2 linked regions of the Astyanax mexicanus genome follow. The protein of the gene in region 2 purifies or fractionates together with the protein of the main gene of each other region. This does not show direct contact. Links are inferred from orthologs where the notes say so. Each region holds a gene or a part of one and is shown on either strand. Other genes may lie near its edges. The genes, in order: dnajc19 and pam16.

The links.
Region 1: the proteins of pam16 (region 2) and dnajc19 purify together in Homo sapiens (affinity purification with mass spectrometry; 3 studies listed by BioGRID and IntAct, with this or other methods). This does not show direct contact. The link is inferred for Astyanax mexicanus from reciprocal best matches to the Homo sapiens genes PAM16 and DNAJC19.

The regions. Positions count from the first base shown.
Region 1 is NC_064423.1:26,561,964-26,577,406, reverse strand, and holds dnajc19 (mitochondrial import inner membrane translocase subunit TIM14), read right to left. Parts: upstream 8,281-15,443; 5' UTR 8,137-8,280; coding exon 8,134-8,136; intron 5,276-8,133; coding exon 5,224-5,275; intron 5,092-5,223; coding exon 5,018-5,091; intron 4,397-5,017; coding exon 4,317-4,396; intron 4,236-4,316; coding exon 4,165-4,235; intron 3,587-4,164; coding exon 3,516-3,586; 3' UTR 3,445-3,515; downstream 1-3,444. Other genes in the region: fxr1 (fragile X mental retardation syndrome-related protein 1), read left to right, coding at 525-725, 1,253-1,330, 2,095-2,180, 2,291-2,455. UniProt on the Homo sapiens protein: Mitochondrial co-chaperone which forms a complex with prohibitins to regulate cardiolipin remodeling.
Region 2 is NC_064426.1:40,095,190-40,111,425, forward strand, and holds pam16 (mitochondrial import inner membrane translocase subunit tim16), read right to left. Parts: upstream 6,756-16,236; 5' UTR 6,613-6,755; coding exon 6,610-6,612; intron 5,083-6,609; coding exon 4,998-5,082; intron 4,317-4,997; coding exon 4,180-4,316; intron 4,082-4,179; coding exon 4,016-4,081; intron 2,716-4,015; coding exon 2,629-2,715; 3' UTR 2,529-2,628; downstream 1-2,528. Other genes in the region: coro7 (coronin-7), read right to left, coding at 13,512-13,520, 15,243-15,329, 15,420-15,511. UniProt on the Homo sapiens protein: Regulates ATP-dependent protein translocation into the mitochondrial matrix. Inhibits DNAJC19 stimulation of HSPA9/Mortalin ATPase activity.

The sequences.
Region 1 (15,443 bases), on a different chromosome or scaffold from region 2:
AGCATTCTTGTACTGATGACATTCTGATACTCGTGCTCGGTTGTGTTCCTTTTGTTAGCTATTTGGTTGTTATTTTCTTTCGACATTTTCTGTTAGCAATATCACTAACATTTTGAAATTTTATAACATTTTTGTTTAAAAGTGTATTGTTTTTCTAATGTATTTTATTTATTTCTTTATTTTTTACTGTGGCCCTAAAACTTAAATGTTCAGTGGGGAAAATAAGCATATGATACAGTGTCCATTTTAGAAGTTTACCAAGAATGGAAATGTCTGTAATTTTTATAGTAGGTTCACTTGAACCATGAGAGACAGAAGCTAAAACCAAAATCCCCCAAAAAATCACACTTTTTTTTTTTTAAAAGTTCATTTGTATTTTATTGCATGAAAAAGGCATTTGATACAATAGAAAAACAGAACTAAATATTTGGCATTTAGAAAAACGAAATATTTGCAATTACAGTGTCAGACTTTTCCAGCAGTTTTTTTCAAAGTTACTAAATAGTTTTGTGCTGATTGTACAGTTCTGAGAGACCCTGACCGGAACCCCTACAGTCTTCTAGACAACACGGAGACGGACCAGACAGCAGACACGGATGCGAGTGAGTCACAGGTGAACACGAACCGCCGTCGCCGCTCGCGCCGTCGCCGCACGGATGAGGATGCCACGCTTATTGATGGCATGAGCGAGTCTGACAATGCTTCGGTCAGCGAGAATGGCCTAGGTAAACACTCTCCTCCCTGGAGATTCTTTCCCACACTCACAATACACTTTCTGTACATCAATTCATTTGAAGATTGCTTTTAACCTTTTCACACACAACCTGCGACATAACCAACTACACTAACAAATATTGTTTTTGTTTAGGTTGATTTTCAGGTATATTTTTTTTTATTTATTTATTCCCAGTAGTTTAACTATGTCTCATTTAGTATGGGCAGCAAAAACATGCCATTGCAGTTGCATTTGGGATATGTGGATGTTTTTAGGATACTTAAATAGTATTCATAACGGTATGCTGTAAATATTCTACAAGTTTTACATGTGGATTTTACACTAGAATGCTTAAGCTGAGTTTTATTAGGCTATTTAGTGCAGCGCTCCAAGGCTCTGTAAACTGCAGTGGTCTTTGGCTCCTTCCCAAATGCACTCTTTGTAAAAGCTGAATGGAGGTTATGAAGTGAATCTGTTAGGGTCTCTATGTTACTGCTGTGTGGAGTAACTGAACGGGGGGGCCTTTCCCTGTTATAGATGACTCTGAGGCTAAACCGCAGCGGCGTAATCGTAGTCGCCGCCGCCGCTTCCGCCCTCCAGAGGAGAGGCAGCCAGGTAACGGGTGGACAAGGGTTCGAGTGTATTGATATGCATGGCTTAAAACAAACTGAATCTAACCACAGCCCCAACGCATCCAAATCGGGAATCCGCAAGTCTGTCAGTTTGGCTGAGAGGAAATTAAGCAAACACTTTAATATAAGATGTATACCACAATACAATAATTTGAGTCAATTTGTTGATGTAATGTCATAAATTCAGCTCAGCGAAGTCACCCCACCACTCATGCTAAAGGATTATTTCAGCTTGGACTTCTTTGCTCATTTTATTTTCATGAACGCAATTCAGGGCAGCTAATCAGAAGAGAACATATAATTAACATGTTTAAACACACAATCAAAAAAAAGCTATAAAGAGAGGTTAAAGAACATAGCCATGTAAAATGAACTAATTTTTATACAATGCACTAATTCCAGTTAAACAGTTTAACAGCTTATAAGAGAGAAGTTGTCACTCTTTATTGAGAGCTTGAGTGGCATCCACAACATTACATGGATTAAAATGTAACTGTTTAAACTGTCTTTTGTGTTCTTAATGACATTCTTATGGTGTGTCCTATTTGTGGATTAATCTACTAACAATACTTGCTATGTTATGGGTTGAAATATTAGACAGGTGTGAAGAGTACCTGCCTTGTGCACCATTAATGTCAACTGAATAGGTTGAGCTAATTTCTGACCTTTTCATTACAGCATGCTTTCCGTAATTGTTTGTTCTTAGTGTTCTGTAGACGTTGATCATTATTCATTTATTTTTTGTAGTTACTGTGGCTGATTACATATCACGAGCTGAATCGGAAAGCAGGCAGAGAACACCGAGAGATCTGAAGAAGAATAAGAAAGATATGGTAAGTCACCATAGCCAAATATTAGTTTTTTCACTCACCTCACTTGCTTTCACAGTGAAAGGATTTCCTCCAGCCTCACATGAGAACTCTCCTTTTTTCCTCATCCACAGGGGCAGGTGGAGAGCATAGCAGAGCACAGTGTCTCTAATGCGGTGAGCAACGGCCCCAGCGCCAATGGAGACGAGCAGAAAAAAGCAGCACGAGCTTCCACAGAGAAAAACACCCCCAATACCTCCGGTGAGGGGGAAAAGCCTGCTGTTAATGGACTCTCCTAAGCAGTTTGCTCTATTCTTTTTCTTGTTTTACTTTTTTCAGAAAAAGTCATAACCTTTACATTTTTACAATAGTGCTTGTACAAGCTTGCCAAAGATAGACATACGGACTTCCAGATTTTCTACTGCACTTTTCCGTTCCTTCACCATGGAACAGGTAGGAGGGGAGGAAAGATAAAAAAAAAAAAAAAAAAAAACACAAAGACAAAAAAGACGAGCCCTGAAGAGACGAAACCTGAAACTTGATTCACATCTAAGTAAGTTTAAAACATGATCAGATGTTGTGCCTTCAGAGAGTAGATTCACCCGTAAAGTGGCCGGCTGTAGGGAAAATAAGGTAATAAAATGGGAAGATCCCAGATATCTGAATTTTGAAGAGAAGAGAGTTAGCTGCATTTTGTTTTAATATGCAACCACTTCATACATCAAGGAGGGGAAGGAAATTTAGTAAACCCAGTCTGGAAAAGAGGATGTTATTGCACTGAACTGTAATTCCTTTCCCTTAAGAATAATGTTCTAACTGGTCTGTTTGTTCATTTTAAATGGTGTATGGAAAAACACTCCATGTGACTATCGGAAAGATCAAATTTGTTCTGATTCATCACCTGTCAGGCTGTAACAATGATGACAGTGACTGTTTAGCAAACAGAGCCTTGTTTTGGTTTATTTATTTTTAAATGTACAGTATTTAAAAGAAGAAAAACAAAAACAAAAGCAGTTATTCTTTTAACACTAAACTGGCTGCCTGAACGTATTTGCACGCAGGTGACAATTTGGACTACTGAAAGAACGACTTCCAGATTTTCTGTTCTGTAAACTACGTTTGAGTCCTTATTTCTTTCTTTTATTTCTTTTTTAATGATCATTCTGGTTGTTTGATGTGCAATATGTTTTGTATGCAGTTAGTTCTTGAATAAAAGTTTGATCTTCCAGTCATTTCTTCTTAGTCATTTGTGATCTGTGAGAGTTTTAAAATGAAATGAAACGTGTGGTACAATAAATGATTTTAATGGTCAGAGAACTCAAGTGTATCAGACAGGGCTCGATCAGTGAATGTGTGAAACTATTTCTTGGCTTGTCCATCAAGTAGATCTTTAGCTTCATTTATTTTTGCTGCAAGATATGGAGATCCACCTGCCAAAAAACAGAAAGAAAGATTCCTCAGTTGACTGTGTACGGTCTGCACAAAACAAGCCACAGTGATAATTGCAGTTAATTTAAAGTTTTGTTAAATTCACAATTCCATTACAAAACAATGGAAAAAATGTTTTGTAACATCAAGGGCACATATCGAATGGATATGTTTTCAAGGAGGTTGAAATTTTCCTCAATTTTCCCTCAATTCAGCTGACAAAGAGTTCCCACCAACTAGTTTGGACACCCCATCACATGATCCCACCATACTTGGAGGGTGAAGGCTAATGCACCCCTCCTCCAAGACTTGTGAGGCACGACTTTGCTGCTTATGACAACAGTTTAAGCCCCAGTCATTCAATCTAAAGTTATAAGGAGTGTTTAAGTCAAGACTGCTTTGAAATAAGACACCAATAGGGCAACCAATCAGAATGGAGTTCATTTACATAGCAGTTCTAAAGTCATATTAACAGAAATTGTGCCTAAAATAACAGCTACAGCTTAGCTAATAGATGACCTACAAATTTGCTGACATTATCATATGTGTCTGGTCTTACTGAACATTTAGAAATTCTTACCTCGGTCTGGATGATTTAAAATCATTAGCTTTCTGTGAGCTTCTCTAATCTTGTTTTTGTTGGCAGTGGGGCTGGGGTAGACAAAAATAAACAAATTCAGTATTGACAATTTTGGCGCAAACTACACAGAAATCACATCATCTGATTCATACCTGACTCCGAGAATTAGAGATGCTTCTCTCTTCGTCATCTTTGGTTCAAACCCTCCTCTGTAGTAGCCGCTTCCAAACGCCTGAAACAGAAGTTCAATCATCACTCACTGATTTAAAGACTCACTGAGTCTAGACTTGTTTTATATGAATCCTCTTCTTAACGAAACTGAATGTCACTATAATTATTTTAGTTTATCTCTATTGTTTTTATAAAAATCAGGAATGATTTATGATCTTATTATTATTTTTTATTATTTAAATAGTTTAAAATTTATAAATTATAAAAATATAAATAATTTATCAACATGACAATTAAACAAAATTCACTGTCAAAACATTTACTTGAGATCGTGAATTTCCATTACCATGACATAATGAACATTGTTTTCTTGAGATTTAGTATTTTATAATGCACATCATGTTTTTTATTAACATTTTTCTTAAGCTCTTAGGAACAGATTCCCAAGAACAATACCATTTTAGTGAAATGTACAATATTAAGAAAACAGCATTCTAATATGCTGTAATAATTGATCTCAAGAAAACATTAAAAAATGTCCAAATCCAATATTCTTTAGGGCTTCCAAAAAAAATCACTTTTTGAATTTGGGTTTTACATTTCCATTTCAGAATCGGATAACATCTGTAAAATCCGTTTCTTAGCTCTCTTCAACACCTGATCCAGGAACAGAGTGACTTACAGTTTTGGGAAAAGCCTGAAGAGCTTGTTTAACTTGGGGCTCCATCTGCTTCATGGCTCGCACTGCGTAGCGGCCTGTGGAAAAGAGTCGCAAGAAATGCAGATGCACTTTGCATTAATGGTGACAAAAATATCCTGAGTCCTTATTTTGTAATGAGGTGAAGGTTTCAGCAGGTTTAGCTTTAATACTCTTAAATTCTCCCAAACCTGCAAATCCTGCTGCTGCCAAAGCAATGCCCACGGCCACCATGGTGCTGGCCTGCAAAAGAAGAGAGACAAACAATACGGCTTGATTACACCGTCTCATTAATGAAGGAGCAATTTGCATAATTTCCCCAAACACATATGACAGTTCTCATCACAGCAATGAGAAAATTCAGCTCATCTCATTTAAAACCCATCTACCTGAATCTGGACCGTAGCAGTGTTTTAATCACATACAGAGAACTTTGTATCCAGTTCGTTGCCAGGTATAAAAAGGTTTAGTAGAGCCTTCACCCATAGGATTTTCAGAAACATATGGATAATTCACCATTTGAGTTACACGCAACACAAATATAATTACTTTATATGGATAGTTTTATATGTAATGTTTTAATGGTATAATGGTGGAATTCTAAAACAATTTATTGTTTTTTTTTATAGGAGTATTATAGTGTATTCAAAAAGTATGTCTAGAACAGAACCAAAGCCCACTTTGAATAACTGTGTATGTTTCTAAATCATAAGAATCAATTATAATTCAAACTATGACATTTTAATATTAATTAGTAAGTAATTGATGGCTAAATACAACATATCACCACGTTTAACTTGCAGAAACTCCTCTGATATAGAATCTTCCTTAGATAATGACAGGGAAAAAATATATATATTTTTCAAACGTTTCACTGCATAACAGTATCAGCGCATGTTTCAATTATTACAAAATGTTTTATTATTTTTATTTTTGTTCTCTTTTTTCTTATAAAATCACACCAAACATATGATTAAAGTATATATAAAGTATATGTTAACCAGACAAATTAACACAATTGTATAACCAAAATAAAGCTTTTTTATATACAAAAAACACCAAAAAAACCACCAAAAAAATTACATTAATAGAGTATCGGCTAAAACTTAAAATCTGTATTATTGGTGACACATATAGTGGTATTATCTGTTAATATGACATATTGCTGTGAGATAAATTTGATTGCATTAAGCCTGTTGGAGGATCTGCTTCGACACTCCACCTCATCCCAAAGCTATTTGACTGAGCTCTATAACTTCAGAGAACACATTGTTACTGTTGATCAGCCCAATTTACTCAATACAAGGGACATATAATTAAGGTGGAGTGACAGAACTAATCCTCCACCCTGAATCTGACCGCATTTAAAAACTATGATCAGAATGTACCTCTGATAATGATGATAATACAATTCAACATCATGGTGTTTTCCAAGTGTACCACAGCATTACAGTATCAGCCCAAATCTGAATTTGCATTAATAATGTGAGAGATCTAACACAGACAGAGTAGTGAGATCTCTGCTAATAATGGTGTTATTCCGTTTTCTCCTTATAAAAATCACACATTTTTAAATCTAAAGCACCTAGATAAAGTTATTCACGTAAGTTAATTTGCCTAATTCACTAAATGGTATCTGATAAAACTAAGCGTAAGTATAAAGGGTAGTATTATTGTTGTGCGACACTGATACAGATTATAGATCAGTTTGACAAACTGCTGTAAGTAGAATTTGACTGCATTAAGCCCCACAAGAGCATCAGGGATACTGATGTTAGAAGATCTGTTCTGACACTGCACCTCATCATAAAGCTACTTACGCTCTGTCATTCAGACATTTCAATCTATTACTCACTACAAAAGGTGTCTGGACACCTTTGGACATACAGTTTTGGGAAAATATGAGACCACTTTAAAATGACCAAATTAAAAACCTCTGGAATATAATCAATAGGAAGATGGATGATCACAAACCATCAAACCAAACTGAACTGCTTGAATTTTTGCACCAGGAGTGCAGGCATAAAGTTATCCAAAAGCAGTGTGTAAGACTGGTGCAGGTGAACATACCAAAATGCATGAAAACTGTGACTTAAAACCAGGGTTATTCCACAAAATATTGATTTCTGAACTGTACAATGTACAATATGAACTTGTTTTCTTTGTATTATTTAAAGTATAAAAGCTCTGCGTCTTTTTTTTCTTATTTTATTTATGTTATCATTTTCTGCAAATGAATTCTCTAAATGACAATATTTTTATTTGGAGTTTGGAAAAAAATGTCTGTAGTTTATGGAATAAAACAATGTTGATTTTACTCAAACATCTACCTATAAATAGCAAAATCAGAGAAACTGATTCAGAAACTAAACTGGTCTCTTAATTTTTTTTTCCCAGAGCTGTATAACTGAGTTATGGTGGCAGAAGTAATCCTTTACTAGAACCTGTCCTGAAACATGCTTTCTCTTCAGTGTAGCTGAAGGCAAATTAAATCCTCCTCACAGTTCATAGATGGTCCAACATCCAGTCTGAAAAATGCCTTTACGGAAGAGTAATGGTCACAACTGCAGCAGCGAATGGGAGATAAATCCTATTATTTCTGTTGATTTTAGACTTTTGGTAGGATTTGACCTTGGAGATTATAATGGAAAACCTGGTAAACTTGTACAGCAGCTTTAACGTTTTAACGTGCAGCACAAAACACTTTAAACTTAATGACAACCTTTTTATAAAATGACAATAAACGTTTATAAAAACATGTATATTAGGTTTATAAAGGAGAATAGTTATATACTGAGAAATTGACTCGTTATTTCATAAAATTTAACAGAATTAAACGATTCATTGGCGCTGTATAATAGTTTTATACTATATAATGACCTTAAAATGACAAAAGGAGCTACAAAAACAAGGTTAGCGCCGTTTTTTGGAAATTTTCTTTCCACCTTAAAAAGTGCAGCAGATACAGTCAGGTGCCAGAGCGCCAGAGTGCAGCTGCTGGTCCATTTAAGGTGGAAATGGAAAGATCTCCTTCCACGGGCTAAGCTAAAGCTAACAGCTCACGTGTGCAATAACAATAATGCACAAAGAAGGCTGCCTACCATTTTCCCAACTTAGTTGGTCTCCTCCCCGCGGCGTGGAGCATTAATATTAGCTTTAATTATCAGATAGATTCCATAATCCGATAATAATGGCGCGATTTCAGACTTTTTGCACTGGTGTTTTGTGCCTGCCGCAAAATGCACCGCGCTGTCGTGAAAGGGGAGGCTAATCCGTGACGTCAGACGCTCCGTTTAAGCTGAGTGTTTGTAAAACAATATTAGTCGTTAAAATCCAGATTTACACTTTAAAACGCGATTTTTCTTGGCTAAAATTAAGAGCCGACATATAAAGCTACCAAACCAAGCTACACACAATGTATTGAAGACGAGGAATGGAAAATATGTAAGTATTACCTCTGCCAATTTTAGTTAATTATGTTAACGTTAATTATTTTACTAGCAAAGGCCACAGAAACCACACATTTCCTCTTGTTTTTAAAATATATCAGAGAAATGTTATAAGTAAACACTTATAAAAAAACTCTACAGTCTGTATATTAAAGGTTAAAAAGAGTTTGTTATACATTCCCTGCCACAAACTGACACAAACACAAAGTTATTTAAACATTGTATAGTAAATATTTATATTATGTTTGGGCAGTGACTTATATATTTAACTGAACTTTAACTAAAGGGCGGGTTTAGGCAACTCTAGAAAACAGTACGTTATTTTATAACTTTGAAGGGGAATAATGAGGAATTGTGTGTGTGCTATGTGCGTTTTATGTTTCCAAGATATTATTAACAAGCTATTTAAGTGGTGCTGGTGCTGTGTATATGGACTAGCGTAGTTAGATAGATAATTACAGGGACATTCTGCAGCTTTTCAAAAATATTTTCTGTATAATTCTATGTTAAAGAAGTAAACAAAGACATTCAGAGTGGGTTTGGTGTGAAATTCTGTGTTTCTGAGAAACATGAATGGGATGCCTAAGGAGTTGAATGCCTCTAAAAGTTCTCTCACAGAAAAAAGTTATTATTCTAAATGTTTTTTAGAAAGAAAAAAAAATATATATTATATTATATTATATTATATTATATTATATATACATAAATATTATATAGATATAAAACTATATCTCTCTCTCTCTCTCTCTCTCTCTCTCTCTCTCTCTCTATATATATATATATATATATATATATATATATATATATATAAAAAAGAGACCACTTTAGTTTTTAAATCAGTTTCTTTGATTTTGCTATTTATAGATATATGTTTGAGTAAAATAAACATTGTTGTTTTATTCTATAAACTGCGGAATACATTTCCTCCAAATTCCAACAAAAATGGTAATTTAGAGCATTTATTTGCAGAAAATGAGAAATGGCTGAAATAACAAAAAAGATGCAGAGCTTTTAGACCTCAAATAATGCAAAGAAAACAAGTTCATATTAATTAAGTTTTAAGAGTTCAGGAATCAATATTTGGTGGAGGAACCCTGATTTTAAATCACAGTTTTCATGCATCTTGACATGTTCTCCTCCACCAGTTTTAAACACTGCTTTTGTATAACTTTGTCACTCCTGGTGCAAGCAGCTCAGCTTGGTTTGATAGCTTGTGATCATCCATCTTCCTCTTGATTATATTCCAGAGGTTTTCAATAGGGTAAAACAAAGAAAAAACATCATCATTAAGAGGTCTTCTATTTGTTTCAAAGCTGTATATATATAGTTTATATGTATATATAGGTTAGTACAATGAACATGTTTAGCTCTTCTATTACTGTATGTTAATGATAAAATGTAAATGTTTTCAAAAAATGCAGTTCTAAAAAAGCAGTAATAAACCATAATTTAATTTGTGCTTAATAATTTAATGGTTATATTACGTTTGTTCATATGTATATTTTGGCATGCGAGAAAAGGAATGGTGGTTCTTTTGAGAAAGCATGTTATTGTACTTACTGCATGCTTACAGCACTTGTTGGCTTCATTCAAGTGCTCTGTGCTCTCTTAACACAGGAGAAGCCCAGGGAGGTGACTGAAATGGCTACTAACACAGTTCATGGTAGGTTAGACCACCAATTCACACACTACCCGAACCTGAATTATTGTATATTTTGTGTAGATCCAAACTACTCTGAATTACTTTGTTTACACCCCAGCCATTGAATTATGCTTTGTAAAATTTTAGAATACTGTTGGAATTCCCCGTTGTAATTCTTACCTGCTTTATTGAAGGGTGTCTACAGAGAGATAATATACTACTAGTTAATTTCTAACTAAGTATATAAGTTAGTAGTATTTATTTTCCAATGCATAAACCTATACAAACAACCTTACTTTGATTCAGAGCCAGTTTAGAGAACACAGGGTTCTTCCCATTGGACTGAATCTCACCCACTCACTGACTGGATGAAGGTCCTAATTACTGCCCCTTCGTTTGCATAATTACAATGTGTTTATCCTCCCCTATTTTTTTAGAAGGATAGAAATGATAAACTGTAGTAAAACTGGCTGCAGTCAGTGGAAGTCAGGTTTAATGATAAATGTGTCCTCTATAGAGGCAGGCAGGCAGGCTGGAGTTTGAAAAGGATTTAAAAAAAACGCCAACTGTGTGTGCAGAAATTAGAGTTTTTGCCCCTAAATCATATGGAATTACAGTGCTGGGTGCATGTGGTGAGCCTCAGCACAAAAAGCCCAGAGGAAGCAGCTATTTCTGTTGGTTTTATTAAACCAACCAAGCAATTTAATTCTTTTGTTCAGGAGAGTTCTACTTCATTGATTAACAAAAGCAGGGATATAATTTTTTCAGCCTTTTTGAAAAGCCTGAAATGTCAAGCCTTTTAAAGCAGATTATTCTGCCTGTGTGCGGTGAATGCAGCCGGAGTAACCTTTTGTCTACAATTAAATATTCCGGCATAAATATAAAAGAAAATCAGAGATGGGGAAGATTGACTCACGAGAGATTGGCGAGGTAGATCCTCGCACTGATAGTGCAAACAGCTTGCTTCTAATTAAATATGCCACAGAGTCTCTAAGCATTTGCTTTCTGCCGCAGAGAGAGGAAGCAGCCTAAGAATGAGAGGAAGAAATATATCACCCCATCTCTGTGGCCACCCCAGCCTTTCCTCTGGGCATCTAAAGGTATTTCGGGAGCTTTTTTTGATGCTTTGTTTTCTTCTGGCTGGATAATTGTTTGTTGATATTATTGTTATTTTTTTTATTATTTATAAAAGGCTATGCCTGGAGGGGGTATCTACATATGAATAGAGGGCAAAAAGGGAAAGTTGTGGTCTGTTTTAGATTCAGACTTAATAATTGAGCATTATGATGAGGCACTTTAGAGACAGATGTGTTTACCTCGTGCAGAGCCTTTTCACACTGGCTGACACTTCTCTCACACTGTGTTTGGCGGTTGTTTGCTGAGACCTGCTCTAGTTTTGGCTCTCTTGCGTCTGACGCTGAGTGCCGGAGCTGGTGGCTGTAGGTGGAATGTGACATTGTGCGGTGTCACAGCATACTAATCACAGCTGATTGGTTACAGTATTGTTGTTAAGTTATGGAATTCGTCATTTTCTCTAATGACGTGGGGTTAATGGGACATGTGTAGGTTGTACATGTTCACAGACTCACTGTAAAATGACCTTTTGGAGAGGGAAATTATCTTAAAGCTTCTCAGTGAGGTTTAGTCACAGTTACATCTTTGTCTGTAAGACTTTGATGAGTGTAGTCAGGTTGCTTGTAGATGTTTTTGCTTCTTTTAAACACATTTAATTCAACTAAAAAGTCAAGTTATATTATAGTTATATTATAGTAGAAATATTTACAAAAGGTAGAATAATCTTATAATATGCTCACAACATGCTCTGAATGAAAAATACTACATACATTTTTTTAGAGCGCAGTGTAGTTGTATTGTATTATTCTATCCACAAGTTGTATTGTATTATTCTGTCCACAAGTTTGTTTTAGCAATGTTTTTGGACTGTGAGAAAATACATTTACTTTATAGATTTTAACAGTTTTGCAAATCATAACTTTATAAATCAGTCCTTTATAAGTTTGAATGAGTAAAATACTTTTACACTACACTCTTATAAAATAATCATGCTAAAGCACATTTTTGGTTGCTTTACAGTCATTTCATTGGCTTATGAAGATCAAGTGATGTGAATAGGATGTGTGAAGTGTGAGGGAGTACTAGTTTACTAGTTATAAAAGAACTATAAATTCAGGCCAGACATTAAGTTTATTGAGTGTTATTATGTCTTAATGTGTTTTTAGCAGCTGTTTTATTTCTGTGTAAGGCTTAGCTTCTGTTTCTTTAAAGCTATGTTAATGTATGCATGAGCATTTGGTGGTTGTCACAGTAAAGTGCACATGTTGGGTTAACTGAGTAACAACTTGTGAAGCTGTACAATCTGACTTAGTTCTTCCTAACTTATTCTAGAGAAAGACAAAGTCATGAATCACCACATGTCTTGTTGTGTTTAAGATGTTGAAGGTTTGAATGTACATAAACTAAACCTCTAGTGTGAGTTAGTAACTGACTGCCTATTTATTACTTATTTACTTTGCTGTGTTTCTGTCAAAGTTCCTGATTAATAAACTGTTAGCAAGCCATGTAGCATCTTGCAGATGTTTTAAATTGAGCAGGGTGGAGATCTCACATCACATTTATATGTTTGCTAAAATATGTATTATTTAATATTTGGCAGAACTGAAACTTGACTAATATACACTGTGACCTGAGTTGGACACTTCTTTCAGAGACTTTTAAGCTATTCTTATATCTTTACACAACCAGTTCATTTACCATGTAAGTATAGAGCAATTTTAGATCAGTACCTTAAAATGAACAAATACATTTTTTTAAATATGTGAATATAGTGGTGTGCAAAGATTTTGGCTGTTCAAATGATTCCATGTATATAAGTATATATAATTTAATAATAATACAAATATAGCCTTTTAAATGTGCATGTTTTTTCCTTTTCTGCAGTGCAGTATTACATTTCTTACAGAAATAGAACATAAAACCATGAATCACTTAAATATGATTAATGACTTTGCAAAAAAACAGCAAGTCTCATTAGTCAAGAGAGGTTTAAAAAGGTGAAATTAGCGAAAATGTAAGTGCAGTAAAATGTGTAATACATGTACTGCTGTATGCACCTCCAGGTTTTGGTGGTTCCCTCTTAAAACAGCTAAAGCCATTGGCAAGCGGACATTGGCTGAATGTTGGGGCCCTCTCTCCCCCTGCGCTGCTCTTAAATCTGACATTATGCTGAATTTGGGTTTCAGGAAATAAGACTGCAAGGTTTGCAAAAAGGAAACAAGAATTATTTAATCAAATTGGCCCCTTCCACATCCAGATTTCTCTGCTGCGGCATAATGCACCTCGGTAATCCTTTTATCAAGCGCTCCGATGAAGTGGGCTTATTCCAACCACATTAGAAATATATAAATATATTTAAGGTCATTCTATCTCTAGTTTATTTCTAGCCAAAGTCTGCCACCTCATTTTTTTACCACAGGAGCCAATAATTACCTGTGCTTTGGCGCTGAGGTGTGTGTTGATAAATGGCACATGGTTAAAGCTGGCTTTAATCAGTATTTTCACAGGTTTCTCCTCATTTCTCTGAATCATGTGGGACATTTTGAGTGTTGTTGTGTTGATGTTGTGTTAACTGCTGGTAAGGTTCTGCATGCTCCTCTGAGTGGGATATTTTTACCCGTGTCATCTTGTAATTATCTCATCGTATGGCTGATGCCCTTTGCTTTAGTTTTTTATGGTGCAACATACACCGTGGGGTCGAGTGCGTCTCAGAAAACAGTGACTTATATTTAGCTCTTGTAAAAATAATTTACTGAGCAAAAGTTGAAAATAATTACCTAGACACTGTCTATGTTATGTCTAATTTGCTTTAAGGGTGATCAGGTGATGAATTATAACTAATAGGCTGATTGTATTGATGGGCGTTTATGCATTATGTGTTTGGCATTTTAATAAACAATTACAGTTTTTTTTTTTTATCTCAGTTTACATATGGGAAAAATCAAAAGTATGATTTGTGAAGATTGAATATGTTATCTGTTAGGTTTTATTTTCCCTAATATAATACATTTAGTAAATAAATAAAAAGTGTGTCTTAAAGGTGCTGGAAATGTTTGCTTCCTGTAGGGAATTTGCTTATTTATTTATATATAAAATCAACAGTACAATATTTTACAAAACAGCAAATTTCAAACATTTAATTGAGGTTTCTGAGTGTATATATATTTTTATATTAATGAATTATTTACGTTTATTACATTTATAACTGGACTGCTATTGTTTTAGCAATGGCCCAAAGAACTGATTTTATCTATTTCAAGCTTTTCTCAGCTATTACATTTAACAAGTTAAGTGTAGCTACTGTAAATTGCTTTAAGTCAGGACAGTAGAGTTATTAAAATGTCAGAGAAGTTCACAGAGAAGATCAGCACCCAAACCTGTGTTCTTCAAACTGTTAGCATTCTCCAAGGGGCAACCCAGCATTGCTAGTTACACTCCAGCACTTTATTTAACCAGTCCTTAATTAAATTCAATTTGATGAGCTGCTGGTGGAGCTGAACAAATTCATATAGTGCCTGGAGTTCACAGAGGAGATAAACACCCTAACCTGTGTTATTATAGCTGTGCTCAGTTAGCCAACATAGCAGTAACTTTACTGACCAACAGCACATTCTGCCTGAGAGGAACTCACACTAGGTACATTTACATGCAGCATGAAAATCTGTTAATAAACTGACTAATAGAATAAATTGAAACAGACTAGTCCAGTTCAGGCCATTCCTACGCTTTCTATATGATTGAACAAGGTGGCTAATCCTTTAAATAATCCATTAAATAGAATAATAATAGCCATGTAAACACCTGTATCTAATTAAGTTTAAGTATGTTCTTGAAATGTAAAGTTGCATAAAATCATCAATGACTGCTGCCACTATATATTCCATCAGTACAACTACGTACCACCAGTCTTTACTGCACACAATGGAAATTAGCTTATAAGCCTTGAAGTGTTGTTGGGCATGACCATTTTTACTTTGCCCCTTTTTAATAAGTGAATGTGACATTTTAAATCTGCATTTTCAGCACCAACTGAAAATACAGGCAATATGCTGAAAATGCTCCTCATTTTCTGACTTGACACAGGTAATGTTTTTGTCATAGTATCATGTACACTAATTCTGCATTCTCACTACTAGATAAAAAGTCTCTTGTGGGTATGTTTGAGGCCTCTTGTGTGTCACATGCAGGGATGCATTTACTGAGCTTTGGATTACTTTCCTCCACACAATTTTTCCTGTTTGTGTGC
Region 2 (16,236 bases):
TCCTCAAACCCTTTCAGATTCCCATTTAGACCTCCAAAATCTACCTAAACCAACCAAACCTCCTCAAACCCTCTCAGACCTCCTCACACCCTCTCAGACCCCATTTAGACTTACCAAATCTCCCTAAACCCATCCAAACCTCCTCAAACTAACTTAGACCTCCTCAAACCCTCTCAGATCCCATTTAGACCTCCCAAATCTCTCCAAACCAACTCAAACCTCCTAAGACTTCCTCAAACTAACTCAAACCTCCTCAAATCCTCTCAGACCCCATTTAGACCTCCCAAATCTCTCCAAACCTCCTCAGATCACGTATAACGCATCCAAACCTACCCAAAGCCCTTTAGACCTCCTCAGATAAACTCAAACCTCCTCAGATCTCCGCAAACCCTTGTAGACCCCATTTAGACGTCCCTATCCTCATCAGAACCCATTTAGGATTCTCAACCTTCATTAGACCTCCTCAAACCACCTTAAAACTTCCTCAAAACTTCTAGAAACCTCTTCAGACCTACTAAAATCTCCTTTAAAAAGCGCAAACCTCCTCAGACCACCTTAAACCTCACAAGACAGACATCCCACAATCTCTCTAAACCTCCTCAGACCTCCCTAAACCTTCTGGATGTCCTCAGACCTCCTAAGACCTTGTTTCTCTGCTCCACCCTCGATTTCTTCGGGTCACTCAGACGGTGAATCTGAGGAAGCTGAATATGACACCGACCCGGCAGGGTCCACACGGTTAACCCTTTGAGCACTGAGGGACATTAGGAGCTCGGACAGAGCGAAGATGAAGATGATTGTTATTATTATAGATTAGCAATAACTGATCTCAGCGTGACGGAGTGTCACGGTTATGCAGTAAATGATAAAAATGCAGTAAAACACAGCGTCACTGAGAGGCAGCGAATCTACGGTACAGTCTGCGCTCTGACGTGACGACGCTCTTCATTCTCGCTTCAGAAAAATCCGAACAAAACCAAACGGGAACGGGAAGCTGAATGTGCCGCAGCGGTGCACAAAGGGTTAATGTATGACTTTGGCCAGGAAAGGCCGGTATCAGTTTTTTTCTTGTTGCACATTGAAATATTTTATCAGTATTTCCTTTTTGCCAAGTGCCTTTTTATTGTAGGTGAAATGTAGAAATACAAATACAGTATATGAAAAATAAATATATATATTTTTTCCGAGCGTTATGTTCTGAAGCCGAACATGCAGAATTTTAGAGTCGTAAAAGTCTCCAACTGGTACAACATAGGCGTGTGCTCCTGTTTTAGAGGAATTTTATTACGATATTGATAATGATGTCAATGAAAACGAAAGAAGCAAATGTTTAATAAAGCTGTATTTGATATATTATTCATTTAATTTCTCTGAGTCTTATTTTCTTCAGGATACTGCCTCTATAAACATGCAAATCAAGTGCAAAAAAAAAATCCATCCATGCATTTCCTGTGAGTCAGCTGATGCTCTCCTTATTGTGAAGGCCAGCAGACTTTGTCTGAGGGAGGAATCTATACCTACTCCTACTGTCTGTGTCAAGTCAGCAGATGAGGGAGATGTGAGTACTTTTAAATAATGAGTTTTGTGCTTCTATCAGTGCAGTTAAGCATGAATTAGCTTTTTTAACTTGTGGTAAACTCTCAGCATATACATGCTTATTTACATAAAAGTGACAGAGCCCTTAAACAGCTCATTCTGAAAGGCACTAAAACTGGTAAGAATAAAGCTGGTAAGATCTTTATCTTTATGTGAGAGTGATTTTGTGAGAAGAAATTCAATTAAATCATAGACCTACAGTATTCTAACTTACACAAAAAAAGGTTTAATAATGTCGCCTTTAAGAATGTTGAAAACCCTGTAAACTAACAATTAACTGAGGCATTTTTTTAAAAAAGTACATAGTGATTTATAATGTTTTAACTTTTGCAAATTAGTTGAGATATTCTCAAGTCGTAAGTAATGTTAATTAATGTACTGTTATTGTAAAATGTTAGCAAAAAATCTTGTCTTAAAGATTCCCTTAAGCACCTTAAAGGATTCATCCACAAGCCATCAAACCAAGCTGATCTGCTTGAATTTTTGCACCAGGAGTAAAGATATAAAGTTATCCAAAAGCAGTGTGTAAGACTGGTGGAGGAGAACATGATGCCAAGATGCATGAAAACTGTGATTAAAACCAGGGTTATTCCACCAAATATTGATTTCTAAACTCTTAAAATTTATGAATATGAACTTGTTTTCTTTGCATTATTTGAGGTCTGAAAGCTCTGCATCTATTTTTGTTATTTCAGCCATTTCTCATTTTCTGTAAATAAATGCTCTAAATCAGTATTTTTATTTGTAATTTGGGAGAAATGTTGTCTGTAGTTTATAGAATAAAACAACAATGTTTATTTTATTAAAACCTAGAATATTTATAATTCCCAACAGAATCTACAGGAGCTTTCCTCTTAAATTTATGTTATAAAGAACGGAGGCTGTAATAAAGCAAAAAATATTATTGTAATAAATCACTCAGTGAAGGTAAATTTGTTTTACACCATGAATAAACAGATTAGACTTTATTGAAACCAGCAGAATATTTACATTTGGGGGAAAAAACAGAAAATAAGAGGCGAGAGGTGAGACTCAGGTGTGTTCCTGCTGTTTTTGCTGTGGTGGATCGTTCTTCTGAATTTGAAGCTCTTCGTCCAATCGCTCCTTTGCCCTCACAACCTGAAAAACCCAGATCAGACACGCTCAGTGATTGGACACCAAAATACTACAGAAAATACACTCTAATAAACACTGGTTTTACTGATTATACAGGGATTACCTTCTGAAGTCAGTGTGGGTAAATAAGGGTATATAACCACAATATACTGATCAAACATAACATTATGACCAGCTCCTTTTTGTCCTTTTGACCAGGACACTTTGTGACAGCTTTATTTCCTATAAACTAATAAGTATAAATGTATATTTATACATTTAAATGTTTAATTGAGCTTCATAACACTGTCTAGTGTGCACCATGTAGGCTAAAAAAAAAAAACTTTTCCAATTAAATTGTATTAATTATATAAATATATACATTTTCAGAAGCCACCAGAGAACCCAACAATGTCAGCAACCTTTCTCCACGCTGTATTACGCTGATCAGAGTCGCTGTAAATCAGCAGAGATTGATCATAAAGGACAGGAAAGCCCAAATTTTCAGTAACGAGTAATCTAACGAGTTACTATTTCCAATAAAGTAACACATTTATCACTTATCCAAGTCACTGTGCATTACTATTTTTGTTATTTATCTTGGTAAAAAGATATATTTTTGCTTTCTTCTATCTCAAGGAGCAACATCTTTCCTATGCAACAATTACTGTAAGTCATGTTTTCAGCATGAGATAAACTCACGTGTAAAACCACTAAACGACAGTACAATTACACATACAGACAGTAAAATTAGATTTTTTTTTTTTTAATGTATTTTATCTATACATAAAAATGACAATATGAAGGTTGTTCACTCTGTGCTGGTGATCTATCTTCAAAAAGTTGCAGCACAGCACAGAAAAACTTACAGAGCAAGTGAGTTTTGGCAGAACTGAGGGAATGTAATGAATGTATCTAATAAAGTAACTTGTAATCAAACTTAATTACTTTTTTAAAAGTCAAGTAATCAATAAAGTAACTACATAAAGTAACTTTTTAAAGGGGTAATCAGATTCAACCTTTTTCTACTATGGTTACTAAAGGAATGCAATTGCTGATAGTGGTGTATGAGGTGTAAGTGTGTGTTGCTCTGGTACAGCAGTGCTGCTGGAGTTTTTAAACACTGTGTTTAATCACTCACTGTCCTCCTTTCTATTACACACTCCTACCTACTACAGCTGCTCCATCTTGTAGATAAAGTAAAGTCAGAGACAGAAGCTCTGAATCTGTAGTTAAACGTTCCAAATGTTCAAATGGTCATAATGTTATGCTGATCTGTGTATCTCATAATCATAATGATAATAATGATGATGATGATGCTCACCTTGGACTGCAGATAGAACGAGCCTCCCACTTCTTTGTCGTTCACTTTAAATAAGTGCTCGTAATTCTGTAGAGAATATGAAAGATGATCTGACTTTAGTACACTAATAAAAATGTGTGTATGAAGAGCACATGTGTGTATCAGTGTGTTTACAGTGTTTTTACCTTCTGGATCTCCTCCGGGGTCAGCGTGGAGATGTTCAGGATCTGCTGGGCTTCCTGGACGGTCATCCCGGTGAAGCTGGACGCTGCGGCCGACTGCGCCCCCGCCTTCCCTCGGGCTTCTGCTGCAGCCTGACTCGCTGTGACACAGTGCACATGTTTAATAATGTTTATATATGATTTAGTAGTTAAAGAATCCTGATAGGCTAGATTCATACACCTTATTTACATAAAAACATGTATACCTTGCTTGTTTATGCAGTGGTTTGTAAAAGTATTCATACCTCTTGAACTTTTTCACATTTTGTCACCTTACAACCACAAACTTAAATGTATTTTATTGAGATTTTAAGTGGTAGACAAACACAAAGAGGCACATATGTGTGAAATGAAACAAAAATTATACACGGTTTACCTTTTTATGAAATAAAAATCTGAAAAATGTGACGTGCAAAAGTATTCAATTAATATCCAGGGCAACCAATTGCATTCAGAAGTCTTAATAATAATAATAATAATAATAATAATGGTAATAATAAAATATACCAGCCCTTTTTCAAATGCTTAAAAACAGAACATACATATTTGACCATATTTTGATCAAAAGTTTACTTGGTAAAGTCAACATAAAATAAAATAGTCCAAACAAAGTAATACATTGATGTTCTTGATATTTTCAACATCTTTTCATTAATTAGAAAGGGGAAATGCCACCCAAATAAAATAAATAAAGTATTTTGCCTTCAGTAAGAGACTGCAGCTGTTTGACGCAGAAAAAATAGTCGGGGTTAAATTTTATTGCCAAGCAGTTTGGAGCTCACCTGCAAATTCCTGACGTAAAGCTCTCGCAAATGCCCGGCCCACCACCTGCGCACCCACCACTATAATCTGGGCCAGGTACTTTGCCTGCATACAAAACAATCAGTCACAAAAACACAGGTAAAATATTGCTTTTAGCTGCAAAATCAAATACAAACAAATATTTAAATACTCCAACAGTCAAAAGGTTTTAACTGTAAGCCATCACACACACATTTACTCATTTATTATTGCTGTAGTAAATCACACTTAAACTCAGAAGCCATTGCTTTATACAGCTCTGGATAAAACAATTAACAGACCACTTAAAACTGATACGTTTCTTTGATTTTCCAAATTAAAAACCAAAAGCAAGATGGATGATCACAAGCCATCAAACCAAACTGAACTGCTTGAATTTTTGCACCAGGAGTAAAGCAGCATAAAGTTATCCAAAAGCAGTGTGTAAGACTGGTGGAGGAGAAGAACATGATGCCAAGATGCATGAAAACTGTGGTTAAAAAAACAGGGTTATTGCACCAAATATTGATTTCTGAACTCTTAAAACATATGAATATGAACAGCCATTTCTCATTTTCTGCAAATAAATGCTCTTGTTGTCTGTAGTTTATAGAATAAAACAACAATGTCTCTCAAACATATACCTATAAATAGCAAAATCAGAGATTCAGAATTCAACTGATTCAGAAACTGAAGTGCTCTCTTATTTTTTCCAGAGCTGTATATAACATGATATATAATGTTGTAAAAAAAACTTACCCATTATAAAAAAATGAATTAAATTAAATCTCTGTGAGGTTGAGCAGTATTTATTGGGTTTATTTGGGTTAACACTGATATATGTACCTCAAAAATGTCAAATAACTCCAACACTGAACTATATTTAAATCTGAAAGAGTTAAAATTACACTTCAACTCTAATAATAATAATATTAAGTGCAGGACTTTCCTCTATTTCAGCTTTAGCTCAAACAGTTCAAACAGTTAAGGTGAGCTGCTGTAATCACCTGTGACACCTGTGTTTATATTGATTTTAAACATATCTAGATATGTGTGGACGAGCCTGAACACATACTGTGTCTTTGGGGACTATCATTATAATTACTAGTTCAACATTTTAATGATATTTGATTTTAAGAACATGTTCATCAGAACTAAAAACTAAAACCTTCTTAAAACTATGGTAAAACAGTCTCTCAAACAACAGGCAGTGTATCCATAACCTTTTGCTGAAATAACTCTTTATATAAGATTTGTAACTATATATTTATATATTTTATTTACTTCTAGAAACGTGTGCTTATCTAGAAAATCAGACTTCACCTATTGTAGTACATTTTCCTACATTAAACCAGGAGTTTTCTAATATATATGACACATTCAGGCTGTTAAAATTAATACTATAGTGTCTTAAAGTATATTTCTACACTAAAACAGCAATATTGATCAGATAAATGAGTAAATAATCAGTGTAATGATGATTAAAGGTCTGATATAATCCTGTAGTTCAGCAGAAAATGACTGCAGGACAGCAGATTAACCCGTTTCTGTGTATTTATATCCTGATTAAACTGAAGCAGTGTGTAATTATGATGTAATATCGTTAATACTCACCATATCTGAGCCTCGCGCTTCTCCTGAAAATTAGAAATATGATCAGATTCTCAGTTATATTATTATTATCATCACACGCGCTTCCATCAAGGTGAAGAAACACACCAACCACAGAAGAAGAGCCAAGTTTACCCCTCAGCGCTTTACAGCACTACACCCCCCTACTGTTCAGTACCGCACACTGCAGCTTTTTACACCACTAAATTGCTAATTTACCATTCCACCTTAAATGCTGCTAATCCACCTTAAATGCTGATTTTTTTTACAATTCCACCTTAAATGTTGCCATTTACCTAAATGCTGCTGTTTTTTCCATTCCACCCTAAATGCTGCTAATTTACAACTCCACCTTAAATGCATCCAATTTACCATTGCAACTAAAAAGCTGCTAATTTACCATGCCCCCTTAAAGGTTGCCAAGTTGCCCATCCGTCTTAAAGGCTGCTCAAATCCTAATTTACCACTCCACCTTAAATGCTGCTCATTTACCATTCCACCTCAAATGCTGCTAATCTGCCATTCCGCCTTAAATGCTGCCAGTTTGCTTTTCCGCCTAAAATGCTACTAATTTACCATGCCACCTTAAATGCTGGCAATTTACCATTCCCTGTTTAATGCTGTCAGTTTGCTATCCCGCCTTAAATGCTGCTAATTTAACATTGCGCCATAAATTCTGCTTCCTATTTAAAGATTCCACCTTAAATGCTGCTGATTTACCGTTGCACCTGTGTGCCGACACACTTCAGGGTTTAGATGCGTTTTTAGGCTTTTAAGGTGGAACACAACAATTCAAATCCAGAAAAGTTAGGTGGGTCGTTTATCATATCGGCACAACATAAGCAAAAATGTTTAAAATTCATAGAACATCTACTACAGATCAATGAGATTTAAGGTGGAAGGAAAAGTTGTGAAGAATAAACTAAAAGCTTTGTATGCGTTTAACATTGTATAAACACCCACAATTATTTCTCATTGTATAATTCACACCATGCCCCCTTAACGATTCTACCTATCATCTTGCTCAATAACTCTCACCCAATCAGAAGGTAGAGAATTAATTAGCTCTGTAGGTGCAATCACCTGTACCTCTAGCCAGACAGATTCTCTAGTGCTCGGGTTATTACCTAGCTTTTTAGCCGCTCATTTGATTTGGAGTGCGTGCGGTCATACGTAAGTAATATTTATCATTTTCTTGATGTTTAATGTTTGAGAAATGTTTGAGAAATGTTTAAATGATGTTTGAAGGCTAAACATTTATATAAGTGGGTCTTAGTTCTTTGTTTGTCCACCTGAGGGTGACAACTGTTAATTTGTGTATGTTTGGTAGCGTATTGCTGACGGCTAACCGCTAGAGGGAGCTCCCGAGTGAGTCCTCAATGAATAGGAGTCAATGGAGCTAAACGGCTAAAAACACACTTTAAAATAGTGTTTAACTAAATCTGCAGGATTTTCCTTTCATTTTAGAAAGTAGAATAAAGTATGTTGCTAAAAACTATCATAACGTACCTATATATGATAGAGTTTTTCTATAGTAAACTGATTTTATGTAGTAAAGGCGCTAGCATTACTGCTACTGTGATCTGATTGGTTGGTGAGCTAATAGCGTAGTTTCACCCATAGCATGTTTTTTTTTAAAAAGCTTTATAACTGGAGTTTGAAAGGTTAAATAATATGTCTGCAGTAAAGAAACATTTTATATTGATCTGTATTGAGTAAATGAGCAATTTTTAGTATATAAATTAGTGTGGTTTTATGGAAATATATTTATTTTGTATAATTTTTTATACTACTGTTATTTGGGCTGGTGATGGAAAATAATAGCCTACGTATCTATATATTAAGAGGGAAACGAACCAAATTAAAGTGAACTAGTCAATTTTAAATAATAGGAACTAAACTGACTAGTTTGTTTTAAGTGTGAACTGGCACAACACTGCTGACTGTGCTGTAACCTTTATTTTATATATTCCACTAAGCTAGTTCTGTATACATTTATTTACAGAACCATACAATTTATTAAAGCACTGCGCATTTATTCCAGTTTCTGTGGGTTGATTTACACCCAGTGCTCAACCAGAGCTGTTTATATAGAGACTATCCACTTTTTATTTCCCCCTTTATATAAGTAAATTACTGCTAACCGCTAGAGGGAGCCCGCGAGTGAGTCCAAAATGAATGGGTGTAAATGGGGCTAAACGGCTAAAAATACACATTAAAAATAGTGTCTGACTACATATTCATGATATTACTTTAATATTAGAAAATAGATTATAATATTTAACTAAAAACTTAAAGAAACCTCACCTGTATGTTTTAATTTCTCTACAGTAAACACGATTTAGGCAGTAAATGCGCTAGCAGTAATGCTACTGTGATCTGATTGGCTGATTAGTGGAGTTAAAGCCAGAGCGCTGGGTTTATTACAAGGCTTATAGCTGCACTTTTTTTTTAAAAGTTAAAAACATTGCCTGCAGTTCTGACACATTTGATATTATTTTGTGTGTTTAGTAAATTTTAACATTTTCAAAATAAATATGGAAACTGTACTGTTTCAGTTAAGTATTTTTTTGATAGTTCAAACTTGAAAATAGAATTTTCAGTGGAAAACCTCATTTTTTAGTGAATGAAACATTAATTTTAAATTTTTTAATGTTCTAAACTTCTCTTCTTCCCCTCACAATCAGAATTTTACGAAAAAATATCTAATAATTTAATCCAACCAACTTAAAAAATTGAAAATAAGAGTTCTTTTTTTCTTTGTTTTAATTAAATGTATTTATTTTGTTTGGGGCAGCAATGAAAACAGGGAAAAAAACATGCAACACCAAATGGAAAAAAAAATGAATAATGAAGTTTTACATCTAATTTTCTATTTTTAAGTTTAGCCTTAAATGGTCTGAAAATTTAACTGATAAACGGGACACTAACCAAAAATAATCAAACATTTATAAAGTCTGATTTTGCTCAATTGTTCCATATGAACCCATTCATTTTGGAGTCACATGGAAGCTGCTTTTATACAATTTAAGTTCAATGGATTTTTTTACCATTTCAGGCTCACTGGACCTGAAGAGTTTAAATGGTAAAAAAAAAAGTTTGATTTGTACAATATAATGACACACCCCTATACCACAGTTAAAACAGACTGCACTACAGTGTGAGATACTGGCACTACAATACAGTAAACTACAGTGTTCATATTTGTTGATAACAGTGATGGGAATAATGGCGTTGAAATAAACGGGGGTAAAATAAACTCAATTATATTTAACTACAAGGGGCTTACGGGGACGAGGAACACAAAAGTAATGCAATAGTTACTTTTATAGTGGAGTAACTCAGTTAGTAACTTTTTTGAAGAAGTAACTAGTAACTAATTACGTTTTCAAAGTAACGTGCCCAACACTGGTTGTTAATCATATATGTTTCCATTCTTTTTTAAGGCGTGGGAACAAGATAATTAAGTCGTGATCAGGGTCTGAGCCTCTTGCTGAAGGTGGAGTGTGATGTGAGAGATGTGAGCCAGAGCCTGTGGCCTTCAGAGTCCCCCGAGTCAAAGTAAGTGAACTGAACCCAGAGTTCATTGTAAATTTATTTAAAGACTATATTAAATCTATACAGGAACAAATGCAGAATTATTTAATAAACAAAAAGTGTAAAACAAACCAGAATATGAAGATGGAAATATTCGAGAGAGAGAAAGAGAGAGAGAGAAAGAAAGAAAAGAGTGAGGGTTATTTATAAGATTTAATCCATATAATAATTAATTAATATAAAAATATTAAAAAGTGATCTACTTTTTGAACATTTAAAAAAAAATCAAATATAGCTAAAGAAAGCTAATATTATATAATATAATAAGGACTATAAAAAGTGAATTATAGCAAAAAATATGGTCCAAAATTGGTTATATAATTAATTTATGTAAAAAATATTACAAATTTCAGATTAATAATGTTTTAATGCATAAACATTGCCAGAAGAAAAATACAGTATAATTTATTTTATTCAATGTGTTTTGTATCTTTTTATGATTTAGTTTTACATTGTAAATTTAATATTGAAGACTATATTAAAGCTATACAAGAAAAACATTCAGAATTATTCTGGAAAGAAAAAGTGTTAAAAAAACCCAGATTATTATAGTTTTATACTTTAGATTATTTTAAATAAGTATCACATGTATCTTTGAGGACAGATCTGCAGAATCTTGGTGAGATTTTAATCTCAGTATCTTCATGAGGGAGAGTCACCTGGAATAGTTTTCTCAGCGTCTTGAAGGAAGGAGTTCCTGGAGGTGCTGAACAATAGCTGCTGCTTTTCCTTCACGCTGTGAAGCTCCAGCTCATCACAATTAAATCACCTCAAATCACCATCTCAGTTCATCAGATTTAGATCAGGGGATTAATGTGGAGGAATAACACTTTTATTTTATTTTATTTTTTACTGTTTGCTACGTAATTCTATATGTGTACCTTAACTGTTTTCACGTCTTTAATATTATTAATCTACAATGTAGAAAATACATTAAATAAAGAAATAGAAAAAGACACTGAGTGAACCATATAGAATAGAAAAATAGAAATGACTTTTATAATAAACTGTAATTAAACAAGCAGTTAAAGTCATTTTAACAAACAAAATGATATATGATTAATATATATATATATATATATATATATATATTATTTAAACAAATACATTAAACACTCCAGACGTAATTTGTTTAGTAATTTTTGTTTTATTGCAAGGCAACATTCCCACAGTACAGAGGAGAGGGTACAGTAATGCAGTTATCACTTATCTCCACAGTATAAAAATCACCATCAATCAAAAAACTGAGACATCCCAAAGATCAATCAGAGACAAGATACAAAACACTGATGCTCATCACATTCAGAACAAGACTTCCAGTAATAATTCCCTATTTATTAATAACATGAAGTGTAAAACACTAAGAAGTGCTATTAACTAAATGATCAGTATCCTCCTGTATTATTATTAGTAATAACAGTAACAGCATTAGGTGATAAACATCATTGGCAAGATGATTGGCAGCTGCACTGATCACATACAATACTGTTAAAACTGATTACTGAGAGAGAGAACCCTTTTATTTAATAGAACCCTTTACAGAAGGTTCTAGATATTGTATCTGTTAGAAGTACAGAGATTCCAGTTCTACATCCCATCAAACACCAGACACTAACTACAGCTCAAAAAAGTGGAGTCATTTTACATTAATTTGAATTCTTTTTTTATATTCAGTTTATATTCTACAAATTATAAAAGCCATTGTAGATATTATAACATTTATGTCAGTTGTCACGTCATCTGAATTGTAATTTGTTCACCACTATTAAAATAATGCATACTGATTATTTATTTTAGTAGTATTATTTCATTTTATTGCCTTTTTTAAATTAAGAATATGTTTAATATTCCACAGGTCTGTTTTAGTGTATTTATTTTATTGTTCTACATATAGTTTTAATTTAGTGAGTGTAGAATATTCTACAGGTCTGTTTAATTTTCTGGATTTATTTAAAATGATTTTCATTATTTTAATATAGCCTTATTATTTGATGTTTATAGACCTTTATTTTTGAATTAACATATTGGATATTCCACAGCTCTGTTTAACTTTCAAAATGCATTTTCAAACATTTATTTTATTATATCTTCATTCTTTATTTTATGTTGTAGGTATTTATTTTAGATTTAGTCACTTTAGAACATCAAAATGATTTTATTCAATTTTTTCCAATTTTCTTAAATAAAAAGTCTTATACAATTTTTTTTTTCTTTGAAACAGCCAATTAGAATGGTTTTATTTATGAATAATTTATGTTTTTATATGACTAAAACACATTTAAATGCCTCTAAACATTGATTCCAAACTTTTGAACTGTAGTGAACATCGATCTTAATGAGCTCCAGTTAAAAACAGTAGGAAGACTGATTTGTATTTACACTGATAGTAAGAAAAAATAGCTGTTGTGCACCAAAAACCAGGAGTGTCTGATCTAATCTGGGAAGGGTTTAATTCCAGCCAATCAGAATGTGATTGATTGATCTGCTATGATCAGATGGAATTGATTAATCACTGACTTATTGATTAGAATAAAGACCTGCAGCATATTAGGATCCTTTCTGAATTAGACCAGACAGCAGGGGGCAGTGCACGACTCAGTAGGGGTGGGATAATATATTGATATTTCGATATATTGTATGGTTTTCATTTACGTTACATTATCGATGTGTGTCATCAAATATTAATATATGTTTATTGAAACATAGGAGCTTTAAACTCCCTAACACCCCCCTAATTAGGCATACTTAAAAAGTTTTTAATTAAATCCATAATTACTGGTATTTTTGATTTATTTAGGAGTATTTAATCCTCTTCAGTAACTGAGGCGTTGTGAAGTATCATACAAAATTGTCTTGATATATTTTGAGTATTGCAGAATCACAGTATCACGATATAATTATTGTGATACTGTATCGTGAGATGCCTTGTGATTCCCACCCCTAATGATTAAGTATAGAAAAGAGGTGTATTAATCTATACTACAGCAGATCAGATTTACAGTATAAAATCTGAAATTAATAAGAGTTGTGTGAGGTTTAGGATCAGAGTGCTCGTCTATTAAACACCCGTCTGATTACAGGAGAGTAAATCTGATGCAGGAAGGGTTAATGTTAATGTGACGGATGGAGGAGCCGGGTGGTGGTGGGACTGGAACACTGGTAGGTGGTGAAGAGGTGGAGGTCCTGGAGGTTGGGTTCAGATTGGCACTCAGGCATGGCACAGAGAACAGCAGCACTCCCCTGTATCTACTGGCACCTTTACTCATCATTTACTCCTCTTTTACTCATCCAAAAGGTGAGGAGTTCCTCTAGTCATCCTGAAAACACACACATATGAATTAGTAAGATTCGTAATCTATCAGAACTCAGTATTACTGAGTACAAATACTTTACTAAAGTAGAAATGTTGGTTTTCTATACTGTATTTGTCACACTATAAAGTGCACTTAAAATCCTTTTAATTTTTTCTAAAAAATCTTCAGTGCACCTTATAATCCGGTGCTCCTTATGTATAAATTTTACCAGTCAGGTATTAAGGAGCAGTAAAGCCACTCCACTAAAGTACAGAGTTATACAGCAGTTTTAGTAAAGTTTCTCCAGCACCAAGACTGGAGCAGCATTAGCTGCTTAACCATGGTAAACGCTAGCTCTTTCTTCATTCAGAGTTGACTGTGTATAGCTGGACAGAGCATCGTCTCTCAAAAGTGAAGCCACCACAGGTCGGGCGCCCCCTGCTGTTCGGTTGCAGAAAGCTGTGTAACCCCACCCATCCTCATAGGTTTCAATGGCAAAACAGAACAACTTTCAATCACGTTTTTTTCCAATATACTGTAATGCTACCTCCATTATTTAAATGCAACAGCTAGTGTAACCTTATATTGTAAATATTATTGTAAATGTTTTTAAAAACGTTATTCAGCTCTATTCAAAAAAGGTGTGGTTATTGTAAAAGGGCTGGTTAGGGGCGGGACCAATAACAGGCCGTCAGCCCTGCTCCGCAGCCTGTGACCTCGAGGCAGCTCTCAGGGGCCGGATTATTTAAATGAGTAGGAGCTCTCCACAGTATTTCTCCCTCCTCTGGTCTCTACTGCGCAGACTCCGGTATCAGAATCGGCAACATGGCGGAAGATTTTGGCTTCATTTTCATTGAAAGAATGGGAACGGCGACACAGCGTCCATCTTTTTTTACAGTCTCTGGTTTACCATGTTAAAACAAGCTACGTGGGATGAACCGCTAGCTGCTAGCGCCCTGACTTTACCGGAACACAGGGTTCCTCAGTGTAGCGCTGTCGGGCGGCATTTACTAGTGCTAGCGGTTAGCCATTAATGCTAATTCCGCTGCACCCAGCCTTAGTGGAAATCTAAGCATACTGTAAATTTACTACACTAAACAAACTACAATAATGAAGTTTTACACCCAGTTTTTAGTTTTTGCCTTAAGCCTTATAGTACTATCAGAAAATGTAACTGATTTCAGGTTCGCCCCACAGCAGAATAAGTGTAACAGACTCACAGGGCATTGCACAGCTTAAATCTCAATAGCCCCTGAAGTGCCCTTGTCTTGTCACTCATGTACAGTAAAAATGCATTAAAACAAAATGGTAATGAGATTTTTATGGAGTTAATTTTGTGTGAAACGTTTTTTGCACAAAAACATAAAATCGTCAAGCAAAAAAAAGAAAAAAGAAAAAAAAAATATCACAGAAGCAAAAGCCTTTTGCAACAAAATCCACAAAAAATCAAAGACTGGCAAAATCCATGCATGACTAATTTACAAATAACTGCAAACTGTTTTCTGTTTTAAATTTGCAACATACACTTTTTGATTTTTAAAGTTTCTGATTGCAGATTTATTTATTTTTTTACTTTTGCCACAAAAATAACTCCATAGATTTTACTGTGTAATATTATAAATAAAATACTATTAAAGTGTATGAACATGGTGTGACTGGTGAAATAATACTTGGCCCCTCTATGAATATTACGGCTCCTTACTCTGGAAAAATCCCAGATCTGCCACTGTTTCAAACCAAACTCACCCACTCCTCGTCGTCCACGCCCTCGTACAGCTCCTGCGGCAGCGGGTCCTCACGGTTCCCCAGCTTAGCCACCATAGCACTCAGAAGCTACAGCAGATACAACAAGAACAGGTTTGAGAAGAACCAGAACAGAGTCCGGTCCAAACAGACAGAACATCTCTCAGCTGTTAAACACACCTCCTCTTTCTTCTGCTCGTCGCTCTTCTCCTCCAGGTAAACAGACGAGGGGAGGTACTTCCTCACAGGAGCCTCTTTAGGAGCTTCGCTCACTGAACAATGAGCAAAACATTAGGAACAGAGAAAACGCAGCAGACATTAAGGCCCAATCTCATTTCACCCCTTGGCTCTACAACTTACCCCTACCCATCTGTTTGGCTGGTACACGCCAAGAGTTGGGGTGTCCTTATACTTGTTAGGTTGGAGGGGTAGGTTAGGGAAAAAGATAGGACTTGTTATCCCTTTCAATGGAGATTTTTTTAGATGCACACTTCAAACAGAGGAGTATGAGAATCACTTTTGGCCAAAGAAAACCACAAATGTAACCTAAGTATTTTTCTTTGTTAAAAGTGACTATTAGCACTATATTACCATAATTTAATGTGTAGTTTTAACGTTTTATGGACAAATTCTTCACAACAAGCATAAAAAAGATCGCTATTAGTTTCTTAGTAGCTAACTAGCTAAATTATGCAACAATATGGTGCAACAGATGGCAGGGGCTGCAGCATTTAAGGCGGAACAGAAAAAAAAATAAAATAAATAAAAGCTAATCAAAGCTAATTTCAGCTCCCCGTCACAGAGGAATTAAGAAATGGACAATAATTATTCATTTCTGCACCATCTCTCTTTCTCAAGACATACAATAAAATACGCCCTAAAGTTAACTAGTTAAGCAGCAGCAGCAGCAGCTCGGTTACTGAACTTGAGCGCTCCTGATGACGTATCGGGTGCTCTGTTTTAAATGGAAGGGTTGCACTCAAAAAGAAGCAGTAGT